4 linked regions of the Drosophila melanogaster genome follow. The protein of the gene in region 2 interacts with the protein of the main gene of each other region in a pairwise test. Each region holds a gene or a part of one and is shown on either strand. Other genes may lie near its edges.

Evidence for each region.
Region 1: the proteins of CG17377 (region 2) and CG4998 interact in a two-hybrid assay, tested with the Drosophila melanogaster proteins (one large-scale study listed by BioGRID).
Region 3: the proteins of CG17377 (region 2) and CG3713 interact in a two-hybrid assay, tested with the Drosophila melanogaster proteins (one large-scale study listed by BioGRID).
Region 4: the proteins of CG17377 (region 2) and PhKgamma interact in a two-hybrid assay, tested with the Drosophila melanogaster proteins (one large-scale study listed by BioGRID).

Annotation. Positions count from the first base shown.
Region 1 is NT_037436.4:16,335,839-16,347,130, reverse strand, and holds CG4998 (uncharacterized protein), read right to left. Parts: upstream 8,129-11,292; 5' UTR 7,983-8,128; intron 6,696-7,982; 5' UTR 6,688-6,695; coding exon 4,915-6,687; intron 4,527-4,914; coding exon 3,645-4,526; intron 3,338-3,644; coding exon 3,039-3,337; intron 2,974-3,038; coding exon 2,370-2,973; 3' UTR 1,890-2,369; downstream 1-1,889. Other genes in the region: CG33257 (uncharacterized protein), read right to left, coding at 1-457, 763-808.
Region 2 is NT_033779.5:6,800,526-6,804,332, forward strand, and holds CG17377 (uncharacterized protein), read right to left. Parts: upstream 2,265-3,807; 5' UTR 2,183-2,264; intron 2,130-2,182; 5' UTR 2,113-2,129; coding exon 2,086-2,112; intron 2,023-2,085; coding exon 1,426-2,022; 3' UTR 1,328-1,425; coding exon of another isoform or gene 1,326-1,327; 3' UTR 1,183-1,325; exon of another isoform or gene 1,181-1,182; intron 1,126-1,180; coding exon of another isoform or gene 1,115-1,125; 3' UTR 853-1,114; downstream 1-852. Other genes in the region: CG17376 (uncharacterized protein), read right to left, coding at 1-156; Daao2 (D-amino acid oxidase 2), read left to right, coding at 2,527-2,729, 2,785-2,997, 3,067-3,363, 3,421-3,733.
Region 3 is NC_004354.4:843,407-850,201, reverse strand, and holds CG3713 (uncharacterized protein), read left to right. Parts: upstream 1-3,044; 5' UTR 3,045-3,098; coding exon 3,099-3,350; 3' UTR 3,351-4,031; downstream 4,032-6,795. Other genes in the region: CG14635 (uncharacterized protein), read right to left, coding at 5,006-5,365.
Region 4 is NC_004354.4:11,691,471-11,699,729, reverse strand, and holds the start of PhKgamma (phosphorylase kinase gamma), read right to left. Parts: upstream 4,594-8,259; 5' UTR 4,451-4,593; exon of another isoform or gene 4,346-4,450; intron 3,907-4,345; 5' UTR 3,419-3,906; intron 3,328-3,418; 5' UTR 3,282-3,327; coding exon 3,190-3,281; intron 2,665-3,189; coding exon 2,486-2,664; intron 2,420-2,485; coding exon 2,135-2,419; intron 2,070-2,134; coding exon 1,979-2,069; intron 1,432-1,978; coding exon 1,295-1,431; intron 1,231-1,294; coding exon 1,133-1,230; intron 408-1,132; coding exon of another isoform or gene 324-407; intron 1-323.

The sequences.
Region 1 (11,292 bases), on a different chromosome or scaffold from region 2:
TCTAGCTCACGGGACAGAGATCTTTGGGCCTCGGCTGCCTGCTGCTCCAACTCCTGGAGAACAACCTGCTTGCCCACCAGAGCCGCTTGTGCAGTGGCCGCCGCCTGAGAAGCCGCTTGGGCCAGTGTATTCTGGGCTATATAGGCCGCCTGCTTGGCAGCTGCATGCTGGTTGGTCACTGCACTGTGAGCCTGATCCGCCGATCCCTGGGCAATGGAACGCAGGCCGCTGCCAATGCTATAGCCACCGGATCCCTTGCTGGAAACTGAGGAGCTACCTCCCGATGTGGTGTAGTAGCTTTTGGTGCTATGTTGTGGCTTCTCTGGCTCGGGAGGCTCTACTGCCGGCAGATGGGGCTCAAAGTAACCACCTTGGTGGATTGGTGGCGGTTGCTGCGGTCGGTAGTGATAGCCATTCCTCTTGTGCAGGCGACCCAAGGCATTGGACAAAAGGAGCACTAAAGGTATTTGGATATAAAATAAGATTTAACGTGGTTTTTTAACCGAATAGGAATCCTAAGTTAGGACCTAAGTAGGATTTAAGTTTTCAATATCCTGGTGTCTTTGTATCTATTTCTTTATAATTTGTATCTCTATATGTATATAAGACAAGTTCAAGGGATGTTGAAGATTTCCGAAGAGAATCTATTCGATTCGGGTATGAGAATAGTAATCTTCACTTTTCAACTCTTGGAATTTAATTTTTAAAGAACGGATCACTACAACTTTTCACTTTGTTATAAAAGGGTATTCCCCGGCTTACCCAAAACAAGCTGGGCGAGAAGAAAACGTAATCCTTGGCCGTACATTTCGCTAGCGCTGCTGGAACTGCATTGAACTTCAAATTGAATGGAAGTGTACAATTTATAAGTCTTTCAGAGCCGCCAGCCGAGCATAAAGTTTATCAAGTTGCGGAAAGTCTGTTGCGGTTTTTAAATTTAACTGATCGCGGGCATGTTATGATTTTCCATCTCCAAGCTATTTGAATAGCTCTGCCCACTATTTGGAGAGCTGGGTCCACACACATGGCACCTTTACACCCATTTCCATCCATACCATCCCATCGAGGAAGTTTAAAGTGACCGCCTTTGAGCCACAAAATATGGTGGCGTTTTTTTTTTAATGGTTCGTTGGCACGCTTGTTTGAACCAAACGGACAGTGTAAAGTGGTCGGTCTGCTCGGGTTTGTTAATGTTTTAAATTTAATTTGCATTTTATGTGCTGCACTACTTTGTAATTGAACCTTAAGTGGCTCTTTTGACGGGATTCAAGGTGCAACGATGCAGGGAAAGCCATTTGAGGGATTACGCTTTCGTTTAGATTAACTAGCCCACGAAATTTGGCAATTTACGAACGGGGGAATTTTCCAATCAAAATTTGAATATTTTTTTAATTGAAAAATTATATAATGCTAATATACCGTAGGAGGCGCAACTGTTATAGGTAGTTGTTGTTATATAATAATATTACATTATAGTTATAATATTTATATATAAATAAATATAAATATATATATATATATATATATATATATATATAAATATTTATATAAGTAAATATACAAAATCCAAAATAAAAAGATATCTATAAATACTATAGTACTTATAGTACTTAAAAAAAGATTGATAATAATAGTTAAGGCGAAATTATCACAATCGTTGCTGTGTATTGGTATTAAAGGGTTTAGAAACAAACATTTTATCAAGGTAAAAATATTATAAGCATATTTTTACCAATGCATACTACAATTGCTGATTCTCCATACTTTTTGAAAACATTTTTTAGACCAGTTTCCATATGTGCGGATTTTAAAACCCTTTGATAACGAACTAACTTATTGTACATTAGTAGTTTCCCCACCCAAGTACCATTATGAATGACACAATTTTTATATAAATTATTTTTTTTTTATTTAAATACATAATTATTTATTACAAATACATAAATAAATAAGTTATGACAAACACTATTTTACAAGACAAAATCGGAACTCGGTGTACAAGATTCGCGTTACAATTAATATCAAAGAAGTGACAAGGTGACGCGACGCCAGTGCGTCTTCAATTGAGCAACAACTGTGAGTAGCTAATGAGTGGGTCAACAAGTGAAGTGAAGGGAAGTGAATCATATATATAACAAAATATAACAGGTATTCAAGGAGACATCCGTAATAACTAAGAGTGATAAATACGATGACGAATGCCACTATCGAAACGATTCGGTCGGTAGTTGGAATGCGAGAGTGTTGAAAGATGGCTTCGGTCAGAAGTGGAAAACGAACTCATCGGAGGAGGTGTCAACCGGAACGGATCCGGTGATATTCGCATGGTAGCCAGTCACCTCCTCCTTGTCAGTCTGCTGATCCGTTAATCATTGATAGCTCTGGGTGATCTGTTGGATCCAGGGCAGGTAGGCGGAGACCTTAACGTAGACGCCGGGAACGTTCACCTGACCACATCCAATGCCCCAGGACACCACTCCGACCACGTGCATGGCTCCATTCCGGTCGCACACCAATGGGCCACCGCCATCACCCTTGCAGGCATCCTTGCCCTCCTCTCCGCCGGCGCACACAAATCCGGGATTCAGTTTGTAGCTATAGCCCAGACGCGTGTTCCTCAGCTGGGACTCGCACTGTTGGTGCGATAGGATTGGCACATCCACCTCCTTCAGAATGTTCTGGTACTTTCCGTGCTCGCCGAAGGCATCCTTGCCCCATCCAGTTGTCCAGCAACGAGCTCCAGTGAAATCGGAATACTTGTCGGGCAGACAGGCGGGACTAATGTGCGGATTCTTGGTGAAGTCAACGGGTTGATCCAGTTTCAGAACGGCCAGATCATTGTCCAGAGTGCCGGCATAGTACTCGGGATGGATGTGCACGGAAACCACATCGCGTTCAATGTAGGGGAAGAACTCCACATCGTGGTTGACATCCCATTCGCCCAGACGCACACGAAGATCGAAGCCATTTTGACTGGATAGAAAGAAGCAATTGGTTAATGCTCTGGTGAAATATACTTTTATGACTCTAGAACTTACGATTTAATGCAATGGGCAGCGGAAATGATGTGCTGGGCATCGATGAGCGTGCCACCGCAGGCGTAGATCGACTCCTTGGGATCCTTCTTCAGAATGGCCACATGCCAGGGATACTCGCCGAACTCACTGTCTCCATCAACGTAGACGGGATTCTTGATGCGACCGGTGATTCCAGCGGCGTTCCTCACTCCACAACGACCAAATTGCTGGGGAGGAGCCTGGGGACGCAGTGGACGACGGCAGCAGACTTCGTTGATGCGGCAGGTCTTTTCCACGGGTCGGTTTCCATAATAGGCACGCTGGAAAATATCAAGGAAGGCAATCGCAATTAGATAAATGTTGGAGGAATGGGTACAATCTTATCTGGATTTGAAATGTACTTTGAATGCCATATAACTTTTCCTAATTACCATCAATGATTTAATCAATAAACAATTAAGAATATTTATAAAATGTGGGGTTCTTTGACTCTTAAAAAGTTTTACAAAATAGTTACATAATTTGGGACTGAACTTCTCATGAAATTTTTCAATTTTGTAGTTATGGACTTTAGTACTCTATTGACGCTTTCGAATGAACTTTAATGCTTTAGCCACACATGGTTACCTGCTCCTTAGGAGCTGCTCCCGCCCACACACCATCCTCAACGCTCCTGCGCCTGCGATCCCGTGGGAAAGTGATCCGATCACTGCCAGCTGCCTCACCAGGAGCCGGAGTGGGAATGTTGTAGAGGGGTCCCAGGTTCAACTGTTTGCCACGACGACCGGAATTCGATGGCCTGTCTGTATCACCACCGCTCACATTGGCACTTCGCTCCACATGCTGTGAGTACTCGCCATAGCCCCCGAAATCGGGACTGGATCCGGGATATATAGAGTTGAAGGAGCTCTCGTAGGGAGACGATTCGTGGTGGTGATGATACTGAACAGAAGGCCCACTGTGATACTCAAATATGGGAGTACTTGGGACCATTTCCACACTGAAATGGAGACCCGGTCCAGTTCCTCCATAGAAATGCGGATACGAGTGGTGGTCATGGTGATCGTGGTGGTCATGGTGATCGTAATCGTGGTGCTCATAGCCACTATAATGATCGTGATGGTGGTAATGTGTACTATACGCTTCGGTGGGCTTCCGCTTAAAGAAGTCTCCCACTTTCTGAATGAGATTCGCATTGGGAGTGACATGCAGATTGACCAGTGGCTTCACCACCTTCTCGCCATATTCTGTTTTGGCCACCTGCACCGATACCAGAGGATTCACATTCACCAGACCCAGATTCAGACCATTTGGACCCACCGAACCGAAGTACGGGTTTTGAGCGGGCACATGATCACCCAGAATATTCGAGGGATAACCTCCATACCCGCCAGTGGGATAGGGCAAACCAAAGCTGACACCGTAGGTGGGCAGCACTTTGCGTTGGATCAGCTCGATGGCCTGGAGAGCGGGCAATGCCAATGGAGATCCTCCGAGCGGGGACTGTCTCTATTTGTTGGTAAGGGGAAAACATAAGAACGCTAGAGGTGGAGTTCCATTTCTGATTGCCGGTTGCAGGTTGCATGTTTCGGGTTGCAGGCGTGCGATCACAAAGGTCGTGCTTGGTTAGCTGGTTTAGTTCTGGGATTAGTGACTGGTCTAATCGGAACCGATTTGCACTCTGGTATTTTAGTTGAGCTTGGAGCGTTGAACGATGGGTGCAGTTGTCAGATTGGTTTGATTTGTTGATTGACTGATTGATTTGTTGTTTGATTTGAATGTGTGTGTGTGTGGGAGGGAGGAGCTTGGCTAAAACTCGATTAGTGGTCCATGTGAACCATGTGTGATTTGGCATTAGTTGGGCACTACTTAAACTAATAGACTTCTATGGACTTACCCCTTGAGCATCGAGTGAGAGATCGCTTGCTTCGTCATCCTTTTGATCAGCCTGGCGGCGGGTGCGCTTCTTGTCATCCTTGTCCGCCTTCTCCTCGTCCTTCTTAGCCTCAGCAGTAGTGGTAGCATTGCTGGATAGAGCATCGTCACTCAGAGCCTCAATGTCCTTGCCCAGGTTGCGGGGATCAATAGGCAGAATGAGATCCTCCTTGCGTCCAATGCGATCGGCAGCGGGACACTGGGAGATGGGCACACACTGGCAGTCGACGATCTGCTGGCGCGAGGTGTCATATCCACTCTGGTACTGACCCTGACCCTGGTAACCACCAGAGATGCCATTGTACTGATTGGATGCTCCACCTTGCAGCTCCTTCTTGTAGTAGTCGGGATTCTGGCTGTGATAACTGGAGCTGGGCGATCCACTGAATCCTCCAGAGGAACTGCTGCCAAAGTTTCCTAGTCCTGAGTTGGGCTTGTAGAGATCTCCAGAGTTTGGTTTGTACAGATCTCCAGTGGGTTTCTGGGAGATTCCAAAACCGTTCTGCGAAAGAAGTCCACCCTGAGAAGCACCATTAAAGCCAGCATTGAAGGCATTGGACTGGGAGTAACTGGATCCGGAAGAAGTCTGAATGGAGGGAGTGTATGTGGCAGATGATTGGGCCAGGGCACTGAAGTCGGTGTTAATGGTCTGGCCAGCTCCGATGGGAATTGGCACACTGGGAACCTTTGCTCCCTCGCCACCTTCAACATGGTGATAATGATGATGCACATGTTGCTGCAGACCATCGAGCGGTGCTCCAACCACCACTTTGGTGCTGGAGGATGTGGCCGAGGCGGAAGAAGCTGAAGACTGCTGCGAGTAGAAACCATTGGGAGCAGAGCTTGCACCCTGGATGCCACCCTCGGGGTTCTCGTAGTTGTATGGAGGAACTCCATTCGAAGCACCAGTAAAAACGGGTCCAGCTCCCAGAGAAGGACCTCCGGTGTAGATGGGTCCTGGTGGCTTGCTGTCATAGATCAGGGCTCCGGGTGGTGGCTTCGTGTAGGTGATACCGTCGGATGAACCGTCAATGGCGGATGGTGGAGGATGCTCCAGGTAGCCACCGGGTCCAGATGGCCTGTAAGGTCCAGACATTGGCTTGTATGGTCCCTCGTATCCCACCTTCCTTGGCGGTCCAAAGGAGTTCACGGAGCTGGGCGGAGGTCCAAAGGAGTTCAGGGAGCTTGGCGGAGGTCCGTAAGATCCAGGAGGTCCACCCATTGGTGGACGACCACTGAAGTAGCTTGGTGGGGGCATGGGCTTAGCCGGACCATAGGGACCACCGCTGAAACCAGATGGTGGTGGGGGACCCTGGGCATAGATGGTCGAGTAGAAGGGACGCTTCTCCTCCACATCGCAGCTCATCAGTCCCAATCCACACAGCTTATCCCGGATAAGATTGCGGGCCTGCATATCGTTTCCCTGCTGCAGAGCCTGATCGATATTGCCATCAGCATAGACGGCATCGTATTCCCCCAGATTACGACCCTCACGGCGGGAGTTGATCAGCTGCTCGATGACCTCGTCAATCTGGGTGGTGCTGTTGCTCTGGATGGACTCGTGGACGAGGTAACGTCCCTGAATGTCAGCTTGTTCGGCGGGCTTGGTATCGACAGATCGGCGACTGGGCATGGCATCCTCCATGGGCGCCCACTCATTTCCCCAGTTGGATTCCTCGGCCAAGGAGGCGGTGGCCAGCAGTACAACTGCCAAAAGGCTAGTTCTTATTCTCATTGTGAAGCCTGTGAAATGATTAGATAGAAAAACTTTAGGATACCAATTCTCTAATATCTACGGATATATTAATCAAGTGATTGATTGACCATCTTTGTCGCCTTTTCTTTTGAGTGGAAAATAAATTAAGAGGTTTAGTCATGATTGGTTATGACATAAGTGGCGAGCTTGACACCATTACCCCAAGTCATTGTGCCAGTTTACATTTCTCCACCTAGCCACCGATCCCTCATACCATCTTTGGCTTAACCAATCCGTAACAAAACCGAATCCGAAGCCCAAACCGGTTAGCATCACGAAATCTTCACCGTGACTCAGACTCTCGTATAAGACTTTTACTTTCATTGGAGGTCGCAGACCGTAGCACTTAATTGCCTGATTTTGTACGTTACTTTTGCTCGAAATGCGAGTCGGGATGGCGAGGGGATCGCTGGCTTCAGGTCCCCGTAATTTATGAGGTAATTTTCCTACAGATTTAGCAAGCCTACGACTGCAATCCCACCGAAGACCATCGCTCAACTTGATCTCTCGCCCTGACAGCCGCTTTCCGCTTCGTGTCTCTTTTATTTGGTAAAATTCACTTTTCTTTTCAGCCTTTATTTTTATGGTCGTTTGCATTGCAGTTATGTCACCGGCTCACAGCGAGGGCGGATTTTGTAAAAGATCGGCTACACTTAACAAAAAAATCAATTATGAATGTAATATTGGTTTAAGGAGTAACTAATAGGATAGCCAGAATTATAATTTTGCCACTCGGAATTATATGCTTAAGTAAGAAGATATATTTATATTTTAAATGATTATGTAAACAGATCTGATTCATCTAGAGCGGCATTACACACTACAATTTCGAGTTATATTTTATTTTTTATGATTTTTTTCAAGTATATATTTTCCAGTTATGTAAATGTATCTTTGGATTTCTTTAGGCCTGCTTTTTCGGCCGGAAGTTGTGCGCAGCGTTGCATTGCAAATTGCCGGCAACTTTTTCGCTTGGATTTTCTTTGGCGAGAAGTGCTCGTAAGCGATGCTAACTGCCGTTTGGTTGGGTTTGGGAAATTTTTTTAGGTTTTTCCTTTGTGTTCGCAGTGAAAGTTTCGCTTGTTCGATTGGCTTAATGACGCGGAGGCTCTTGGCCAAGAGTTTTTATTAAGTGTATGTATGTAGGCATATTTGCAACAACCATAATTTCATGTGCTGCAGACTCATAATTCACATCTAATAGCCATTCATTTAAATTAGTTCGCTTTCGGTTCACTTGAGTTCACTTTGCTAATTTCGCTCACTTCACTCACCTTTTTTGTGTCAAGTTTATTAATCCAATTGGTTAGTTATCACTGTTGTCCGGATAATCCTTATGCAATTTACTGAGTCTCTTATCCTTTCACTTCATTCACTTTCTGCACCGATTGTGCTCTTCGATGCTCTGCAGATCGTTCACTGATTTCGCTTTCGTTGGCCGCGCACATTTTATACAAAAGCTGTGCATGCGCGCCGTCGACGTCAAGCTCCAACGTTTCGCTGTCTCTGTCTGCATTGATTCCGTCTTCTTCTAGCTTTCATACCGCCTTAGTTTGCGAATCGGTAGCCCAAAACAAAAGATACAAAAGCGGCGACGGCGACAATGTTTGGCAACCCCTCTTTTTCGCTGTTAGTGTTGATTTTTCGTCTGGGTTTTTTCCTCAAATCCCCAATTCTGCCCAACTACTGGAGGTCAGTAAACGAGGCGGAAATAGGCGGAAATATCACTATGATAGCTTCATTATCAGTAAGAAACCCAGAAACTATCATCACATTCAACACATCTCTTAAACATAACTGACTGTCTTAAACATCCAAATGGGGCTTTGTTTTTTTTTTTATGATTTTACCAAATTTTAAATAACCAAATTTAGCTTCCCGGAAAGGCGTTGCTTGAGAAACCGGGATTATGCAATTCTGCAATTATGAATTGGGTCAGAGAGTAGCAACCGCTGAATAATAAAAACATCGTGAAAAAGGGTAAAATTGGGCATTGCCTCAAACCGGATCTTTTGGCATACATTCATCTTTCCCCATTTTTTTTTTACTTCATACATCTGCCTCTCTTTTTGGTTGCAGTTCAGTTCAAATCGCCTGGTTTTTAACCCATGGTCAATGCAAACGTCATCGCTCGGTCACTCGTTTCATTTTCGTTTATTTTAACGTTTTTTTTATTTAACCTAGCTCACTGTGAGTAAAAAGCGCTTGGCGGAATTACCCGAAGTTCATAAAAATTAGAGACATTCCCCCCAAACTTATTCACGATGATCACGTTCGCGTGCCACTACCTTAAATCCCAATCATTATCAGGTTTGCGTTTGTGTTGTGTATGGTCAGTGCTGCCCGGCCGGAGTGAGTCTCATTGTGATTCAGTGGCTCCAGTGGCTTCCACTTGTGTTACTGACCTTGGTTCGATGTGCTGCAGTCGTTCATCTAGCCCCCACCTAAGTGGCGTTTTATGTTAAGCATTCCAAGAAAGTTGATAATGACCAACAGAGCTTCGAAAATTATGCTAATCACATTGATTTTTCTCGGGAGTTGTTATTGTCGCCACTCTGGGCTGTTTGCCAAACACCTTTTGGCTATTTGCTCGCGATTAATTCACGAAGTTTTTATCAATCAGCGTAGCGTGTGGCGTAGTTTTTGACCATCGGGTTTTTTATGACTCATACTATCGAGCACTTTGGGCTTTTCGAAGGAGGTGCGACGAACCTTATTTTGCATCGTTTTTAATTCCGTTTGGCTTACCTTTTTTTGGGGGTACATCAATAAGATGGAAATCGATTTTAATACATTGTTAATATAATATCTATAAAGGGTTTTCCGAATGTAAATATCAAACTTATTTAAATGTACGTTTCAGTAACTAATACATCTATTTTCGTTTGTTATACTCTGGTCTGAAAACTAGCATACATGATTAATAACTCATTAGGTCTTAAAAGCTTCATATCTTATTTAAATATAAATATTTAGATAACATTCAAACAACCTGATATTTGCAGAACAATATAAATAATGTGTTGATTTTATACGTTTTTATAAGTTTTAATTTAATCTCATCTATTACAGTGTATCTACGAATGCGGCTAATTGCTATCTACAATGATTTTCCTGATAAAAATAATTTTGGTAGTTAGCTGAAACTTGGCTATTGGTAAATCCCAGTGAGTGATGAACTGAACTTGAACTTGGACCTCGCCGGAGACAACTAATGCCAGGTGGACAGTTTGTAATCCGATGGGGTTACAGGTTCAGGGGCTTGTTATTGGATCTGCATTTCGGATTTGGTATATACTCATATCTATTTATGGTGCGCTCCAACATTTTGCACATTTCTTGGGCCGCACTATTACAACATAGCCTATGTTGATTATGGCCAACTTGTTAATTGTTTGTCCAAATGGATTTGTGTGGGAATCGTGTTTGCTCTACTTTGTTAGCTTCCTCCGACTGAATCACTCTCTCCTTCTCTTTCGCTCACCATACCTTTCTCTCTTATACCCCTTCGCACACCAAATTGTCGCAGTTCAAGTCCAAAAGCAATAAAAAAAAATAAATATTGTCACTGGCTCAAGGCTGAAGTGCCGACTCCCTGACTTAGATTTGTGTCAATTGCTCAACAAGTTGAGGTCTTCCACCCACACGCACCATTTGGCTAAAGACAATTTGCCAATCTCTTTAAGCCAACTACATACATCGTATATCGATTATGGATTTAGAGCTTAACTTTTGAGGGGAAATAAAATCAAAGCAGCACACAAAATTGTAGTAAGGCGATTGAAATTTAATAAGATAGTTAGAAAATATCTTTATATTATATTGGGTTTAGTTTAAGCTCCTTACATTAATTTATAATTATTAATTTGTTAATTTATATATTTTAATAAATTATGAATTTTGTTTTTTGATACATATCAGCGGATATGCACTTTTTCCAAACATTAAAAATAATCATAGACGATTAAGTACTTTACTAATTAACTATATCATTTTTCTGACTTACTTATATATTTGGAACATAACAATTTTTCCAGTGCCTGCAATTGCATTTCGCTTTTTTACTGCATCTGCAATTGTGCCATGGATTTGCCCAAAAAGTATTCGCCAATCCGCCGCTGGAAAATCCCAAGAAAACCGAACTGAAGTTTTTGGTCTCGCATTGTTGGCCTATTCAATTCTTGATTGCCTGCTGCCGGCTTAAACCGCTTTGGGCCTTGGGGAAACCCCATTCAAGTTTGTGGCCAGCATCGCATGGTTGGATTTGTTGGGGGCTTGCATAATAATGCACTCCAGTGCAGTGCAGTGAGCCTATGGCTTATGATTCACATATTGGGAGTCGATTTGTTGTGGCTTCGATTCGGTTTGTGTGCCTGGCATGCGAATGAGTTTGCCGCTTTTGTTTTCGTTGTCGATTCGCAGTGTTATTTGCGAAATGGCTGGTAATAAAATCGATGCGTATGTTTTGCTTTATTAGTTTATTATTGTAATCATCATAGTTGGCCAAAAGCATCAAGGTCGTTCACCCACATTGTGTGATATGCATACGGATTGAATAGAGGGCGGAGTGGGTGAGTCATGTCG
Region 2 (3,807 bases):
ACGGGGATCGGGAATGCCGCCCTCGGGCAGAGGGGGACAGCACATGCCCGGAGCAGGAGAGCACGGGATGGGAGACGGGGCTCCGCATGGCGGACTGTGGGGGCCACAGCAGGGTGTTTCATTACAGGGTCCACAGCATCCACATCCGTTGCACATGTTGAGTTTGTCTAACGCTGCGGGCGAAAAGTTAAGATGTTATACTTTTTGAACAAATACTTAACACTCACTTTTTTGGTTGAGTTATTATCGAAAAAGTAAATTTGGAATTTAGAAAAAAATTTAGAAGTCGAAGCGACTGGTCCGAGAGTCAGATATCGAATGAGGTTAGCTGTTCCCTTGGCCCAGCACATCCAGTTCAAGTTTCGGTTCGGGTTGGCTTAAAAGTCATGGCCAACTTTATGAAATTTCATGGCCTACTTCGACTTAGCAAAGATTATGAAATCGCCACAGATCTACATAATTATATATCTATATTTGCCTTATTCACTAAAACAAAATATTTGACCCGCGAATTGTTTAGGTCAACTAACTCACTAAGATTGGAACATGGCTCTCCCAGCTCGAAAAAATGGGTTTAAAACAAAGTACTATCAGCAAAGTTCAACTTTTAATTAATTAAATCTTAAATGCCACGGAAACCCACCCTAATAAAATTGATATTAATTAATATAAATATCAGAATATCTGTGGGACATATGAACGTAAATTTTTATGGCCTTGGCATAAGGTTTCAACCTTAATTTACAATTCTAATGCCAGGCTTAAAATATAAATATTCGAAGCATAAGTGCAGCCATAAAATAAACGCAACCTTTAACACCCCCCATAATACACAGAATATAATTTCAATTTGTTTATTTGTAATTTAATGCCAAATAGATTCCAGATACCAACATATGATTTTGTGTTTAAATCAAGACCGTCTGACGAATTGCACATGGGTTCCCAAATAGCTTCGAGCCCTTCTAGTAATGGGTATTCCGCAGCTGGCTAAATCTTGATTTAAGCCAACTTCAATTTTTTATCAACCAAAACTACGTCACAAAACGACAACATGTCCCGCCAAGGAAGTGGCCCATATCAGGATCCGATCGAAACACTTGCCAGGAAATACTTATAAGCCACCTGTGGGATGAGAAAGGTAAAACCAGTGAATGCAGAAGGTATCGCAGTTACTTACACGCGACAGGATGCGGATGGAGGTCAAAGGGTCATGAAGGATTTGGGGCCTGGCAACAGCATTTGGTCCATGGATCCTACCTCTACGCTCACAAAGCCCAGGACATGCTATCATTGTTGACGGATCAGCGTAGTGGGCATAAAGCTCCTGCAAAAGGACATGAAGCGTCACCACAAGCACATGTTCCAGATGCTGTGACCTGCAAAGTCCTTGGGCATGCCTCGTGCTCCTCCGCTCCATGGTTTTTACGTTCTACGGACGCCCAGCGCCGTGACAGATGGACAAGCAGACGGACAGACAGGCGGACAGGTGGACGGACCTGGACCGGACTTACATGGGTACGTCACAGGTGCGTTATAGTAGTTCCAGACACGCGGATCGGGAATGCCGCCTTCAGGCAGCGGAGGGCAGCACATGCCCGGAGCAGAGGAGCAAGGAATGGGCGACGGAGCTCCGCATGGAGGACTGTGCGGGCCACAGCATGGAAGACTGTGCGAGCCACAGCATGGAGGACTGTGCGGGCCACAGCAGGGCGATACATTACAGCAGCAGGGACCGCATCCACAGCAGCCGCCGGCAACGCGTCCACCGCATCCGGCACCGCCATTTGGTGCTCCAGTGGCGGCACAGCGCATACGCTTATTGTTCACGCCCATCATCATGTTAGCGTAGCGCAGCGGGAATGCCGCCGGACCGCAGGTGGGGAAGGGGAAGCACAGGCAGGCCGGTCGGCCCTGGCAGGCGGACCGCGGGCACTTGTCCTGCAGACCGTTCCGCTTCACGCAGTCGCAAGTGGTGTACATGATGCCGCATCGTAACTCCCGACTGCGGCATCCGCGCGGCTGGAAAGGATGCATACATAGTGGTCACAAGTGGTCAGTGGTGTGTTGCATATGGTTACTCACCTCCAACGATCCACATCCGTCACACATCTTGAGCCCGTCGAGCGCTACAGGACAAAGGATTTAAAAATATACTATGGTCTTCCCGGGATAAACTTACTCTATTTGGTCAAATTAATTTGGAAGAAAAATTTGGAATTTGGAAAATTTAGAAGCTGGCCGAAACGAAAGGTCCGAGAGTTTGGTATCGAATGAGGAATGATCAACACATCCCAACACACATATTCGGTTCCGTTTGAGATGAAATGCAAGGCCAACTTGTTGGAATTATAGCCTACTAGATTTTAAGAAAGAGTTAATATTAGATTCAAAATGCAAAAAGCTTTTTCGCTCTTTTTAAAAGCTCTGTTATCAGCTAATTGTATTATGCGATTTGCTTACAATTCTGATAAGCGATCCTCTTTTCAGTTCATTCCAAGTTCCCAAGCTGATCGGATTGGAGCAATGCCTAACATTGCAGTTATCGGTGCCGGGGTTAATGGTGTTGCCAGTGCCATTAAGATACTGGAACACTATGTGAACGATGGAAAGACACCCATAAAGGTGACGATCATATCGGAGGACTTCACGCCTAACACAACTGGAGATGGTTCGGCTGGTCTCTGGGGTCCGTACCTTCTGGGCGGCACTTCGCAGGCGAAAGTCTAGTAAGTTTTACTAGTCACTATATTATATTCTTACTTATAACTTTTTTTCCATCAGCAAGTGGTCGAAGAGCATGCACCAATTTTTGGAGAAGATCTGGCTGAGCGAGGATGCCGGAGAGGCTGGCGTTTGTCTGCTACCCTGCATTCGGCTGAGCACCTCAACGGTGGACACGGTCGAAGATTTTTGGCGTGACATTGTCTATGGAGCAGTGGATCTGTCCAAGGAACAGCTGGCTGCCTACAATAAAGGTCGCAGCGTTAAGTTCACGTAAGAATATTCATAGATATCCATAGATTTATACTTGCTGAAATATGAACATATCTAAACCATATCTAGGTCTGGTTTATCCTTTGTTACCTACACCTCGGAGCCCATTAAGCTACTGCCGTATTTGATGAAGCGTTTCACCCGAAATGGAGGTGTTGTTGTCCGGAAAAGGATTACAGACCTGGATGCATTTGTAGCCGATTCCGAGTACGATGTGATAGTCAATTGCTCCGGATTGGGCTCTAAGACCCTACTAAACGACGATCAAATGTACGCAGTGCGTGGCCAAGTTTCCCGGGTGAGGGCCAACTGGATTTTCTCTGCCGTGCTGGACGAGAGTGATGATGGCAACTATATTATACCCAAGTGAGTATTTGCCAGTTACACTTATTTGTTCGTATTCCAATATCTGAAATATTTAAGCACCGAAAGTGTTGTCCTGGGCGGAACCCATCAGGAGCGGGACTACAACACTAAAGTCTGCCAGAACGACAGGCGGATGATCGTCGATGGCTGTCAGCGGTACATTCCTGGTTTGGAGCACACGGAGTGCCTCTTTGATTGGGTAGGTCTCCGGCCGGGTCGCACCCAACTCCGACTGGAAGCCGAGCGCCGCGGCCGCAAGCTCCTCATCCACAACTATGGACATGGCGGCAGTGGAGTCACTTTGTGCTGGGGCTGTGCCGACGATGTCCTCAATATCCTGTTGGCCGCCAAGAACGGTTCCAAATTATAAGTCAGTTGGAAAGATTATTATTTTAGTTCTATAACAAAATTGGTAGTGTAAAGGTAACAGCATTTAAAAGCATC
Region 3 (6,795 bases), on a different chromosome or scaffold from region 2:
CGCTGCCAGCGCAATAAAGTTGATTGCGCCTATAAATATGCAGCACTTGGCTGTGATTATTGCGCGGACTCATGCTTTTCTCTGCTCTCTTCTTTGTGTCTGCCTGTCCTCGCTTGTACTTTTTTTTCTTCTGCCAAATGTATGCACTAATTGTTATTCCTCGCCCGGCTTTGTTCGCCTTATCTTAAGTCGCCTGTGAGACAGACGGAGTTTGGGCTTGGGCTTGGTCCTGATTTGGCCGGAGTCCTTGAGACGCTATCAACTGCTAATAGCTTTGGGATATCTCGCCATTTTTGCTTTTTATGACAATGCTTTGCGGTCATCACACTCTCCCTTTGCACTCAACTTGAGAGGCGTTTATTTCAAAGCGCGTTGATCAGGGATTTCACTTAGATGGGGGGAAAAGAAGATGTTTTTAATGTCTATATTATGACTCTAAACCAAGCTGGGTATACTTGCCAGCAGCCAACCTGTTTCTCGCATAACGTTAACTTATATCCAAGGATGCCGCTTCCCCTCAAGTCAGTCTTCTCTTGACTAATCTGGCTTCTGTTACATCTTCGGTGCACTTGCTGTTCACAATCAGCTTATCTTATCTTACGTTTCCTTCCACTCCATGGTCGCATCCAAGCCAAGCGAATCCAATCCAAACCATTCCATTCATCAGGAGCGCTCTAACTAATAGTGGGCGTGACGTGAGCAAACCTCCATTGCCTGACAGACGAGGAACCCGCCTTGTCTGTCGCTCTTGTTTGGCATTGTTAATCTTTAACCTGAGTCCTAATCCGTGCGTCATGATTGAAAGCAGCTGCAAAATCGCTGTGTGGCTCCTGTGGCTTCCTCCTCAGCTTTTACCTATGGAGCGAAAAAACGAAGTTGTCGGCGAACGAGAGGGGGCTGGAAAATGAGGCGCACTGGGAAAACACAACGCACATGACGTGATGACGACGACATCGTCTAATCTGATTGCCCTGATGTATTCGCCCTGTGCCAATTTGTGTCAATTTCGATGGCGACCGAGAGCAAGAACTTTGCCGCTCTAAGCTGAGCTGCCTTCGACTTTGCCTAGCTGCTAATTAGTTCAGCCAGGCGGGGATGCTGCAAGTGCCGGCGCAGGTGCAGCAGTCGCCCTTGGCACATTAGACGTAATGAGAAGTCGTCGGCAGCAGTGGTAAAACGCCCCTCTAATGGCTCCGCAGGCAAAACACTTGCAAAGGAAGCTCAAAATTGTATTATTATTACTTTCGCGTGAAACTGTGGAAATAGGCGCTGTGCTGCTTGTACTCCCATTTGGGTTTAAGGTGGAGTAATGGGTATCTGATAGTCGGGGAACTCGACTCCAGCGTTCTCTGTTGGAAAATGGGCCTTTTGCTAAGACATTAAGCATACGCAGAGTAACAAAAACATGTAGTCCTTGCTGGACCTGATTTTTCTCACTGCATGCATGTGGGGGATAGGTTAAAGAGAAAATGGAAATTGCGGGAATGGGAATGGTGAATGGTGAATGGGAGAGGGGAAACGCGCAGTGCAGTGCCGTGGGGCAAACTCAATGCCGGCCCAGGCCTCCCATGTGTGTTTGTGGCAAGTTAATGACACACCTTAACCCATGTTAACCTAGTTTTTCATGTTGTGGTTATTCTTGTCGTGCTTGTTCTTCTTTCCACTTGACCCAAAGCCCAAAAAAAAAAAAGGAGAGTGGTGTGGAGAGGATGTCGGTGCGTATGGGCCTGGCCTTCATGCGGTTGACATGAATTTGACTGTGGCATGATTGGCCTACTTTCTGTCTTTTGCTTGCGCTCTAGGCTTTTTCGCATAAATAAGCTATTTGTGACCAATTTGCATTTTCCGCGTTATATTTCTTAACTGACACAATAAAAAGTTCGAAAGGCGAATGACGGCAGAATAGGAAGAGCTATAGCAAAATCCAACATATAAACAAACAATGCCCAAAGGGCAGCATAGATCTAGGGTAAGATCAGCATAAGAAAAAAATGGAAAAATGGACCGAGTGCGTTTAATTAGTCACATTCCGACATCATAATACCTTTAATAAAGCAACCAACTTAATATTAACAAATGGGGACCATAAAGTGTGAAATGTGGAGCGGGAGTCCTCAAAGGACCTGCGGATGGCAAGCAATGGCCTTCATTTATTTTCCTCAGCCGCAGCTGCTGCTTCTTTCTCAGCTTGTTAAGCATAATTAAAATCACAGAGCGGGATGGAGAGAGGCGCAGAGAGCCAGGGAGGAGAGGGACAGAGCTAGTGAGTAAGTGTGATTAAAAGATTGCAAATTTCTCACTCTTATTCATTTTTTTTAAGCTCTTCTTTCTGGCCAAATTGAATTTTTCGTTGCAGCAGACAGCGAGTGAGTGAGTAGGACAGAGCAGAAATGCATTGAACTGATCAGGGTAGTAACAGCACCATGTAGAATCGAAACTTTATTCACGTTAAATCCCCAATTATGTTGGTCTAAATAATGCTTGGTATTAAATAGTAGTATTCCCTGCAGAGGGCTCAAAAGTGTTTTTTTTTTTTGTTTTTGTGGAACGGAAGCCACCTCGCAATTCGACTTTAATGAGTAAACAGGGCGTGCAGACGCTATGCAAATGCTTTAGTCCCATTGAATTTGATGGCCGCGCATAAATGTAATTATAATGTGCATTCTATACAGCAACAAACATAAATGCATAAGTGCATAAATGCGCGCGCGTGTGTGTGTGGACAGTGGATTACGTAATGCCGATGCAGTGAATACGATATAATGTGCTATGCATAATGCATGATCGCACTCCTTAATCAACGCCAAACAAGCGACATTTAATTTTAATTTTAATTAATTTTGTCATTTGCTTTTTACACCGATGACGATGGATTTACCGGAAAACGAGCGAGTCTGTAATCCATCCATTTTCGAATTCTGCTGTGGACGCAGCTGTGCTGTGGATTGTGGGGCGTGGGGCTTGGAGCGCGGATTTGTGAACGCGTGGATGCCTGGGGCTGTAGAAGTAGTAGGGTAGTATAGTAGTAGGTGGGCCTCCGATATCGTCAGTGCTGCGAAATCAGCTGTCGGGCGAGCACCGCATAATCAGAGGTGGGGATGTTTCTGGGCTTCTTGGTGGATCTGCTGTACTGCCGACGCTGCGGGGACGACTGTATGATGGAATTCCCATCGACTTCCGCGAATGAAGAAGCAGCGCCGAAAGTGGTAAAGGTCGAACTGCCGCCGCTGCCGCCACTGACCTTTGAACTCATCCGCAATCCATTGGCTGCCGACCAGGAGTGCGATGATAGCTTCGAAGGCTTCGTCGATGGTTATGATGATCCCAGGCTGCCGGAAACCATCATCTGATTCAAAAAAAGCTTGCCACTCACTGGCATTCCGCACTCCGCTTCATTTGGTTTAATTAAAACTCTTTTTGCCATAATCCAATTAAGACCAAAGGCAAAAACCAAATGACAACAAATGGCATAATGGCCAGACAACAAAACAGACGGCAAAAAATAGAAAAACTCGACAAACTCAAACAAAGCTCCGCACAAAGCAAAAAAAAAAAAACTGAACAAAACAAAATGCAAACAAACAATGCAATAAAATTCAATTACAACAAAATTTTAATTAACTTTTTGCAATCAAAACACAAACCAAATGAGGAGACAACTGGCATCCGAATTGAAAGCCAATAAAAATGGGCGTAATAACCTAACCAATCTACAGGTCATCGATGGACAGGAGAGGGTTAAACGAATCTGACAAAGGCTGTGTACGTTAGCTTCAAATGGGATAGGATTACTTGAGTGTATCATGTTATGTGTGCAAAAGTTTAAAAATGTATATGCACGCACATATGGTAAATGTTTGGATTCGATTGGGAGCACCAAAGAACCAGGCACAGTTTTCCAAACAATAGAAACTACTCGTAGTCGTGTGCCAACTATCGGATACCTTATAGTCTGTATTAAAGTTTGTTATTGACTTATTTACTCTACGAGTACTGATGGAAATGAGTATAAATATGAAAATATTGTTTGTAAACTGTTAAAATGTTTTATTTCGTTTTGTGGGGCGGTAGGTCGCATTACGTATACGACGCGCAGACCACAGAGTAATACGTTTCTAAAGCAAGTTTGCAGTTGCACTGTTTCATTGTTGACCTATCAATTGGGCTCTTCTTCCGGTCGTAGCATACAGTCAGTGTGAACTCGTTTCTTCCAAAGCAATTCCGAGTCGGATAAGACACAGCTACTGCAGCCCATCAAGATCTGCTTCCATGCTCCTTGCAGCATTGTCCACCCACCCTTTAAGACCTCCTATATATTCACATCTGTATCGCAATCGCGAGAAAGACAACTTTTAGTGCGACATTCGCTGGAAACTTTCAGCAGAGCGGCAAACGACACCTAAACCGACTAATGGGCAAAGTCACCTCCTTTGGCAGTAGTGGCTTCGGGGGTTTACTTCACCCATTGTGAGCCATTTGTTTGCTGGAATTGCATTCGTGGCTGCGAAATAACATTTTCCGTTTCCGTTCTTGTTGCGACTGCGTGCCACATTTGTAAAACTTGTGTGTTTAAGTCTGAAGTGTCTGAAGGAAAGTGGACCCCCTCCCCAACCCCCCTTGGCACACCACCAGCAATTAATGCCAAATGTTTTCTGCTTTAGGCCGCCGCTTCATTTCCTTCCAATTAAGTCGCCAATTGGCAGGCCAGAACGCCCCTGATTAAACAGGTGTACGGATGAGGACGGCCAAATCCGGTAAAACCTTCGCAATCTTTCACGCACGCAAGTCGAACCGAACTTTCTGCCTTTTCAGCTTTATGTTTAATCCAATGGTTTGGCCAAGTTTCGTCGCAGCGCCGAACACCAGCCAGCCATCGCATGCAAGTAAATTGTCCATATAGTCAAGTCAGGAAAATGTGTAAAATGTATTTATTGTGTTCGACTTTTAGCGGAATATGCGGGATCACATGTTTAATGTCAATGCCGAAATCCCAAACAATTTCCGCCTAGAACTGGTCGGGAATATTTCGAACTGAACCAGATGACCCGGCGTCTTGGAAAGATCTGCCAAAAATTCGATCGTAGCGCTCCAAGGCTTCGTAGGAGACCCGTGCTGACCGCAATGAGGGACGAAGGTAGCCCGTTGATGGAGATCCAGCTGAAGGAGGAGGAACTGGAAACGAATCGTGTCGCTGTGGCATAGAAAGATCGTTCCACTTGCGGGTCTGCTCCTGTTGGAGCTGCAGATCGGGCGCCTCATCGTCCAGGTCAGCGATATTCCGCCGATGGGTGGTGCTGGTGGAATCCGTGTCGGAATTTCCCTGGGCCCTGATACAGGCAAACAAGTCGCTTAAACTAGAGCACATATTTGTTGCTTCTGGGCGAGTTTGTCGGTGGTTCCACCCTATTTATAATCGTGCAGCTATGCAGCTGTTTTTGGCAAAGGGAATGGCTCAGCCAATTAGTACACTAAGTAGACTTAGTCATTACCAAGCGACCAAGCGAACAAATAAAAACACTTCCTAACAATGTTGGAAATTTTAGACGGTACTTGTACTTCACATTTGATTGGATATGCAGTTAGATTCTCCTTTGAGTAGAGGAGTACGAGTATACTCCTCAAACAGCTTAGCAAAGGTTAACTCAGACTGAAGAGATGTATGAAAGCTTACCATCAAGTCAAGCTGACGTTTCCTGCCACTTCCGCTCCGCCATTCATCATCGGTAGAGGAGGCTTCTTCATATTTCGCACAGCAATTTGACGTCCATCAATCAATGGGCTCCACACCCCCGTCCGCCCCCTTAACTGAGTGGCCACTTGAATGGCATAAAAAGCGGAAATTAATGCACTTAAGACATTCAAAATAGACGGCAGTCGATCTCTTGCGCGCTTCAAGTGGACCCCTTAGCGACGTTTAACCATCTTCCTCTACGCCCTTCCTCCCTTTGGACTCTTGGGTTCCGTAGGCCACTTTGGTGATTAATTGGACGGGAATTCCTCGAGGGCTATTTCCGCGGCCGGCTTTTCACCTTTCTTAAATGGCAATCCATTGAGTTCAGAACGCGCGAAGCAAGCGACCAAGGGCGAAATTAGCCCCGTTTTCCAAAATTATCGTAATACCAGGTGCAAAGAAGCAGATCCCAGCGACATGAATTGTATTAGCTAGAGAGCATTATTACTATTAGCTGCAAATTGTGTGTCATTTCCCATGATTGATTCATTGATGGATAGACCATCCTTTGGGTGGCTGGGTAGATGATTCCCAATGAAAAACCTCCCATGCTGAAAAACCCCAAAAGCATAAGGACCGCAAAATAACCATTTTTTAAGAGCTCAAACGGAATTCACCACACCGGAAAATACTGGGAACTTCTTCTTATCAGGGTTTGTGTCTGCACTAAGTTGAATAATTTGTTAGAGGGTGTATCAGATAAATGTTTACATCGGGTTGTAGAATCGAATTTGAAATTACACTGTAAATTTTTTTACAGATCCATTGAAAACTAAGAGGCTTAAGAATAATTTTTTGGAAGTATAACCAATTCCCAACTAATAAAGTTAATTAAGTATTCTGTGGCTTATGAAATAAAACCATGAAGAAACGTTGTGGTCAAATGCCCTGACTATCAGATACCTTTTACTTGGGCAATTTTCAGAATTAACACGCCTTCAGATATAGATGGCGCCACGTAATATTTTACATACAGATCTACAAAAGTATTTATATTTAATTAAGTATATTTTTTCAAACCTTTTACAATATTAGTTAGATTTTAATAGTTGTCGGAAGAAAAA
Region 4 (8,259 bases), on a different chromosome or scaffold from region 2:
AGTATGTATAGTATACAATTGATATGCACTATGATGTACAGTTTAGCTGGGTTATATTAGATCGGCACAGAACGAAACAGAACAGAATGCAACGGAAAACAGACACACGAATGCTGGGCCGGCAGGGTTGCATATGGTCATGAGTTGGGTCTGCCGGCCCGATTGCTTGATTTTATTATCGGGATTATCAGGATTATCGGGATAATCGTTATTAGAGCGATTACGATTACGGCTCCGATATCAATATATGAACACGGAGACACACAGCACAGAGAGATTAAGAGATAGAGAGAGCTTGGGTTAGTCCGGGAACGGTTCGTTACCAGTGCGATCTCAGTGATGCGACTCATTCGTCGGGACTTGGTCGACAGGCTGCGCTTGAGGCCATCAATGTTTTGCTCGAACAGCTATCGATGGTAGTGTGTGTTCGTTATCGTTCGTTTGGGTTCGTTTAAAATTAATTGGATTCGATTTGATATATAGTTTATATGTAAGGAAAAGAAGAAAGAAAATGTTTGGTATAATAAATAGTAATCATAGAAATAAAAAGTTAACAAAACGCAAGAGGTTCCGAAGGGTTTTCCTTTCTTTTTCTTTTTAAGGGGGGCGGGGGATCCAAACTAATGACTGATCCTGTCAGGCTATAAATCTGACAATTGAACTAAACTACGGGGGGTTAGGCTGCTACCCTAACCGAATTATAAATCATAATCGTATTTTTAGGAGGTAACAGTAAGAAGAAGCTGTTAATAGGCTGTTGTGAGTGGTTGGTTTGTGAGTCACAGGTGGGTGTTCTTTCCATCAGAGTGTGTGTTCTTAGATGTACGTTGTGTTTAGAAACATTTGCAGGGCCAGGTGTTTGGTTGTTTTGGTGGATTGGTTGTGTAGAAGATTAACCCACCCGAGGTTAAACCCATCAACTAGAGATCTAGTATCTATGTACAAGAACAGGAACCCGAAAACTATAGACTGCTGCCCGAGCACAAAAGACGACTCGTAGGCGGACCTCATTCTTGGCGACTAATTGAACTAATTTGACTGATTTTCCTCTTGTACAGGCGGTTGTAGTAGTGGTGGTGGTGGTGGTCGTGGTAATTGGAGCCCGGCGGCTGCCAACAATTCCGGCACTTACCATTTGGTTGAAGAATGGATGTCTTAATACTTCCTTGACGGTTATACGTTGCGAAGGATCAACGACTAGACATTTGCGTATCAGATCCTTGGGATCCTCTGCAATCAATCGAAACCAAGTAAATAAGCATACGTTTGGCATGTGCATATCAATTTGACCAACCTGAAATATCAGCCCACTCCGGCGAGGTGAAGCTGTACTTGCCCTCCATGATATTCCGCAGCATGACCATCTGCTTGCGGTGCCAGAAAGGTGGACAACCGACGAGCAGCGTAAACATAATCACGCCACAGGCCCATCTGCGAACAACAAAAAGAAATCGAAAAAGAAATGGGTAAAAGGTGTCAATTTTTCCTATTAAAAATTTCTGCTGAAACCAAGTAACGTAGATACCAGTGGGAAACGTTAAAGAACTCAAAAATACAAAAAGCCCTACGTTTTGCTGAACCGAAGAAATATAGACGTCGGTATCGGAACTACTCAGATTTCAGATTATTATGCCTTTCTGCTTCTGACTCATTCATTAAAATGCACACCTAAAGATCAAAACAAATCGCCTGACACGAGGAACACTAGTTAATGAAATGTATCAGCAAAATTTGCGTCTATAAAACAAAAAAAAAAGGAAAACGGGTCTAATATCGATACAAAAGTTTAGACCTTTCTTTTTTTATGTAAGCAAAAATTTTTAATAATAAAATTAGCTGTTAACATAAGCAATTTAGTAATTTGAGCAGACAATTCGTATTACAATAAATGTGATACTTTTTGTGCTTAAATTGCTTCTATAATTTAAGTGAGCCAAAAAAAGGTGTAATAATAAGTGGCTAGTTTATTCGCTCTTACATGTCGACTTCCTGCGAGTAGCCGGGGGATCCCTCGAACATGTTGCACTTGAGCGTTTCGGGAGCCAAATAACCCGGCGTTCCGCACAGATCTAATAGGGGGAAAGTACATATAGTTTAGCTTAGCGAATACAGAAGGATGCTGTGTTATAATTACTTGTAAGTTTCTCGCCCTCTTGCAACTGCTTGGCGAAGCCAAAATCCGTGATCTTAACGTTGTGGTTCTCGTCCAGCAAGATATTCTCGGGCTTAAGATCCCGATGGACAATGCTCTTCGCGTGTATGTACTCGACGCCCTCAAAGATTTGTCGCATAATGGTGCGCGTCTTCTTCTCGGATAGCGTCACCACAGAGGTCAGATAGTCGAAGAGTTCACCTTTGGGACACAGCTCGAAGACGAGGAAAACAAATGCATCTGACTCGAACACATCCTGCAGATCAACTGTGCACGATAATGTAGATGGTTAGTGGTGGAATTAAGTACATGTGGGTGCTATGTGAGACTAACTTATGTAGGGATGCCCCATGACCTGGCGCAGTATTGAGATTTCTTGTCTGGTTGCTTCCAGCATGTGATATGGATTCGTCTCGCCTGACTCTGTGGTGGCGCCCAAGTCGATGATCTTGGCGGCAAACTCCTTGCCCGTCTCCTTTTCGATACATCGCCTCACGGTCGAACTGATGCCCCTGTAAGACAAACATTGCATGTAGATAAAGAGCTCTGCTTCTGCTGCACTTGACATTGCCATGATCGGGTATTTATCTAATCTCTAATCCCTAGAATTGTAATATGTAATTAGCCCTTGTTTTCGCTTAGTCTCTGCTATTTGCTTGGCAAATTCTGATCTTCGTTGTGGCGTGAGTAGGCCGGCAGACAGGCGCCGCTTGAAAAGCAGCCCATGCCATTGCTCCATGCCATGGAAGCTTGATGAGGCTGACTCACTTGGCACCATTTAGCCCAAACTGCATTACTGCAGACTTGGCAGTAAGAGGTTGGGAAAGCAGAAACAATCAATATTTGGACGTTCTAGTGATTTCTGAGGATACAAGTATCAATGTTTCTATGATCTTAAATTTGCAAAATTAACTACGCAAAGTAAATAGAAAGAAACGTATTTGAATGGTTAAGTGCAGGATCAATAATACTTCAACTGAATTTAAAAGGATTTAATAAGAGGTTTGAGATCACGGCAAGTGTAGTTCGATTCTTACCTGCCCAGAATCTCCTTGGGCTCGTATTTGGCATAGAAGCCCTTGGCCGCATCCTTGTCGGGCAGCAGATCATCCTCCTCGTCCTTGGCCATTAGATTTCGTGAAATCTTGCCGGCTGCCGAAACGGCAGTTTGGAATCTATTTGGTGGACGAGCGGAAATCAATTGGTTAGTGAAGGATTACATGATGATGACGGTGATTATGGTCGCAATCAAGATCAGTTAGTTACTCTGTCAGGCTGCCTGCTAATGAAGATGATGGGGATGGGATGCGGTGGCGATGGCGATTGAGGCGTAGGAGGGGGCGGTGATTTCTGGTGGTGTTCTGTTGATGAGGTTGATGCGATCGTTTAAGGCGTTGCTATTTTTATAACGACAATGTGGAAACGAACGGACGTGCGACACGAGTGGAATCTCTCGCCGACTGCGATTGAGACTGTGACTCTCCGACTTTGCGACTTTGCCGACAATCAGACTTGCCGACTTTCCGACTCTGCCGACTTTCGTTCTTTTCTTTTCGTTTCTTGCCGCCTCGCCGCGCTTCGCTTCGCTTCGTTCCGTTTCAGTTTAGTTCAGTTCAGTTCGGTCTTCCTTTTAATTACCAAGCCCCTGCTATTCGATTCCACCCGATTCGATTGGAAGTGGATCCTCTCCTGTCGCTCTCGATTGCTCTCTCGCTCAGCTGTTGGCGGCTGATTTAATTAATAACGAATGCCAACTGCAAAAACACAGATCGATTTGAATAACAGGCAAAAATTAAATCAAAAATAATAGAATTAAAATGTATTATTAAACAAGTGTTGTGTGTGTGTGTGTGTGTGGTGTGTTCACAACGAATGATTACACAACTACAACGCTTTGTTTTGTTTGCATTTCGAAAGGGTGCACATTATCGTTGCTGTTTTTGTTGTTGTTTAGCCTCCTTATCAGTGATACAGCTTCTCTTCTTCTACTACTGTTGCTGATTTCTTGCAGTTGTTTTGCTAGCACGCACGCACACACACATAAGCACGCTCGCATGCACCGACTATGTGCAGCAGGTTCCTTTTGTTTTTGTTTTTGCTCTGCTCTCGTTTCTCCCATCCTCCTTTGCAATCCCACACACACACTCGCGCACACAGACGCCGCATAGCACACATATACGCACACACACGCACCATCGTGGACATCCAACTAAGCGGGTACATTTCAATGTCAACTAAGGTTAAAAGTAGTACGCTTTTTGGCGGAGTTGGCGCCCGCACCGCCAGTGAAACACATACACGTGTGACCGCTCGCCTCTTGAATCGCTGGCAACGACGTCTCGAACATAACTCCACACAAAATTTATATTCCTCGGATTAAATTGCTAGTGCAACAATAAAACCCTGTATTTTTGACACAATCACAAAACTGGAGGTGGCACTAGTACCGATATCGAAGTAATGCTATCGATTGTTCCCGACACTCTGTCATATCGATAGCATTATATCTATCGACACGTAATTGTTAGCTAAGACACACCCCGACCAGGGATGGCACAGTTAGCTAAGACAACATCCTAACTTAGCAAGGACTTGATCCCACTCGGCATGGTTAGCAAAGACGCACTACCAAAATTGAACCCTCAACGGTGTTAATTTAAAATGAATCCTTTTCTAAATACCAATTAAATATAACAAACATAAGTGGACTTATAAAATAAGTCACTTCATAGATTTGAATATTTAAATTACCATTATTATATATGTTAACTTTTAACAAAAACTGTTGCTAACATTTTGCTTTGGCCTTAACTTCCTTTAACTTAAAACACGCGACTAGATGTTGATGTATTTTATATTTATTTACGGAATACAATTGTAAAAAATATTCAATAAGCGCTAAATGTATATAATAATTATGAGGCAAATGTTACATTTTCCTTTGCTTTCTTCCGCTGAATGGGCAAGCGGAGCTTAGAATGTTCTTCATTTTCGTTTTGGAAGGGTCGCGAAAAGGGATGATGATGGGTCACAAGATCGGATCGTTAGAATCCATTAAGTTAATACTCGGGCGGGACTAACCGCTCGTCGCGTACTTCGTGGATTAAGGTTTCAGTAACCTTCGGGATGCAGTCGGAAATACGTTGATTTGTTGTTGTTGTATATTTACTATCAAAATGCCGTAAATGGAATACACAATACAAATACAAATACAATTGCAGCAGCAAAGTTGTTCATTCAGTGCCGTATGTAGATACATTACAATAATATAATTATTAATTTATCAAAAAAAAAAAACCATATATATATATTTATAAAGAAGACAGACACACACGCTTGCTGTTGTACACATACACATCGGATCTCTAGGCTTACAAACTTACAAATAATATCTATTTATATACGTATCTTTATGGATTTCTTGCCATACTTGGTTTACGTTGCCTTGTTGTTTTTATTTTTCTTTCCTTCGTTACTGTTTTCGCGTCTAACCGAAGTTGATATTTCACCTAAGTGCACGCTTTTCAATTAGGGGAACGATCAGGATGTGGTAGGTTGTTATGCTCGGAAGGTTTGGAGTTTGGTGGAAACCGGTAGAAAAAGAGCTAGACGCTCCGGTTTTTTGGCTGGCAGGACGACCTAATATAGCAAATCCGTTTTCTGTGTACCCTCGCTGTACACAACTTCGGCGCCCGGCGTCGCCGTCAGATGGTAATCATCCTCGTCCACAGCTGAACCCTTCTTGGAGGCACCTGCTCCATCTGCAGTTCCAGGTCCTGCTTCCGTTGCCGCCAAGTCGCCCTCCTTGATCAGTCCCTCGCCGATGCCCATAATGCTGCCATTCCCGTTGAACATCAACCGGCTGCCCGCAGCTCCGGCTGGACTGCTCCCGTTGCTGCCTGGACTGTGGCTGCCATTGCTGCTCCCACTGCTGCTGCTCTCGGGCAGGGCGTATCGGGTGACACCCAGCTGGAATAGGTTGTCCATCGCCGTGCCCTTCATGGGCGTGTAGAAGCCCAGAGCCGTGGAGCCTGCAATTATGTGTAGAACGAGATTAATCGACTGTATATCTTTATTTCAAGTGGGTTTAAATCCTTCCAAGGATTTGGGGTTAGTACAATGATAAATAAGGTGGCTCCGAGTTGGGAAATATATATTTCAGAACATATATATATATATTTATATGTATATATAATCGAGATGAGGTGACGGTGTTGTGGATAAAGGAGGATCTCGCCTGGATCTTTTCAAGCAAATGAAAACGAAACATGACCAGTGGATAAAGAAATGGAAGTGGAGATGAGCGATGGAAGTTGATGATATGACTAGGATGTGCCAAGTGGTGTTGGTGGCTGGTGTGTGCGTGTGTTCGAGTGTCTGTTCTAATCTGGGTTAGTTACCTTAATAATAATATGAATTGGCGATTAGTTTGATTGCCCAGCGGAGCAGACAGAGCAAGTGCACTGGGTTAGAGGTGTGGCATTTCTGTTCTCGCACTTGAATCGGTTATTGGGTTATTTGGATTGGCATTTGGCATTAGGCATTTGTCATTTCGCATATTGAATATTGCATTTTTCATTGTTAAGTTGTTCTATTCTTTACTTGATAGTTATTTATTGCGGTTCGGGTTGAGCGGCTGCAGTTATTAATCGGTTATTCAGTTTACGGATCGGTTTAATTGCCTTTGCTTGTTTGTTATCATAGATATTTTTGGTTTTGGTATACAATAGATATTATTTCAACGCTTTGCTTATGTATTCTGTTACATTTAAATAATATCTGCAAAAAGAAATTGGTATGAACAAAAAATAGAAATAGAAGTAAACAAATAGCAAACAAACAAAGCGACAGCGGTGACTTTAACAAAAGGTTGTTGTTGAAATGAAAAACCATTTGGGTGGCGTGAAACAGCGGGGGCGAGAAGGTAGGTTAGCGTAACTACATGGCTACAATTTCAAATCGCAAATTGCAATTCAATACATGCCCCACAACTGCATACCAAACCGAACTGAGCCAAACAAAGCAAACATACATAAGCACATAACACATAACTAACGCCAACTCACACGGGTGCACAAATATATATACTTAAGTACGTAACTGAAATGAAAATAGTCACTAACTAGTGTTCTGTGATTCGTTTTTGTTTGGTTTACACCGAACACATGTCGAAATTAGCCGCTACATAAAGGTTCTTTGATTTGTCTGCAGCTTTAGTTGCTTTACTTTTCGTTTATTAAACGTTTAGTTACACCCCAAAATTTGCCATGAACACTTAGTTATCAATTATCGCAATTGTTTCGGTTTCTGCGATCTCTAGCTGAGTAGTTAGCTTAATTCTTAGGCGTTGCCAACATTTATAGGTGACCTAAATAGTTTTCTACAATAATCTTTAACTTCCACATGGGCTGGGTGGGCATAGTACAGTTCAATCTGATGATTGGCATACGATTTACTAGGTAAACTATCATATAATGGTTGCTAAAGACTATGGAGCATCTTATACCTAAGGTTGTGGATAATGAATACAGACGGGGGAGCAGGGCATTATCAAGCAGCAGTCATAGGAACATGGTTTGGTTTTAGTGAAACATGGGGACACCAGCATTATCCATCATTTAGGTTAGTTCTAAAATCCATCATCCTTCGCGTATTCTTCGCTCGCTAATTCGCGAATTACTGTTGATTGTTATCCAGAGCATCGCATAAACGATTAACGGCGGCAGTGCATCGACATCGGGAAGCATCGTGAATCGCATCTATGAATCGATTAAACGTGTGTTTCGAGTGTCCGGTTGCCCCAGTGTTTGTTTTCTTGTGTGTGTTGTGATTGGTGTGTTCGGGTTTGGTGTTCCTGGTTTCCGCATTGAGTTATTTGTTTTGGAGTGAGTCGGATATGCACAGGGTTACACTTTACAGTTTAGCGGCCATCAAACCAATATATATTTTTGTTTTTTTTTTTTTTTGGGAGCGGAACGGGGTCACCAAGAGGTATCCAAGGGATGATGGGTGTTCTTTAGCCTAGTTGTAAACATATAGTAAAGCTTGGGCAATGCCTACGTTTCGCTGGCGGTTTCAAATCGGTTCGGAGTTGGAGTATCTGGTTA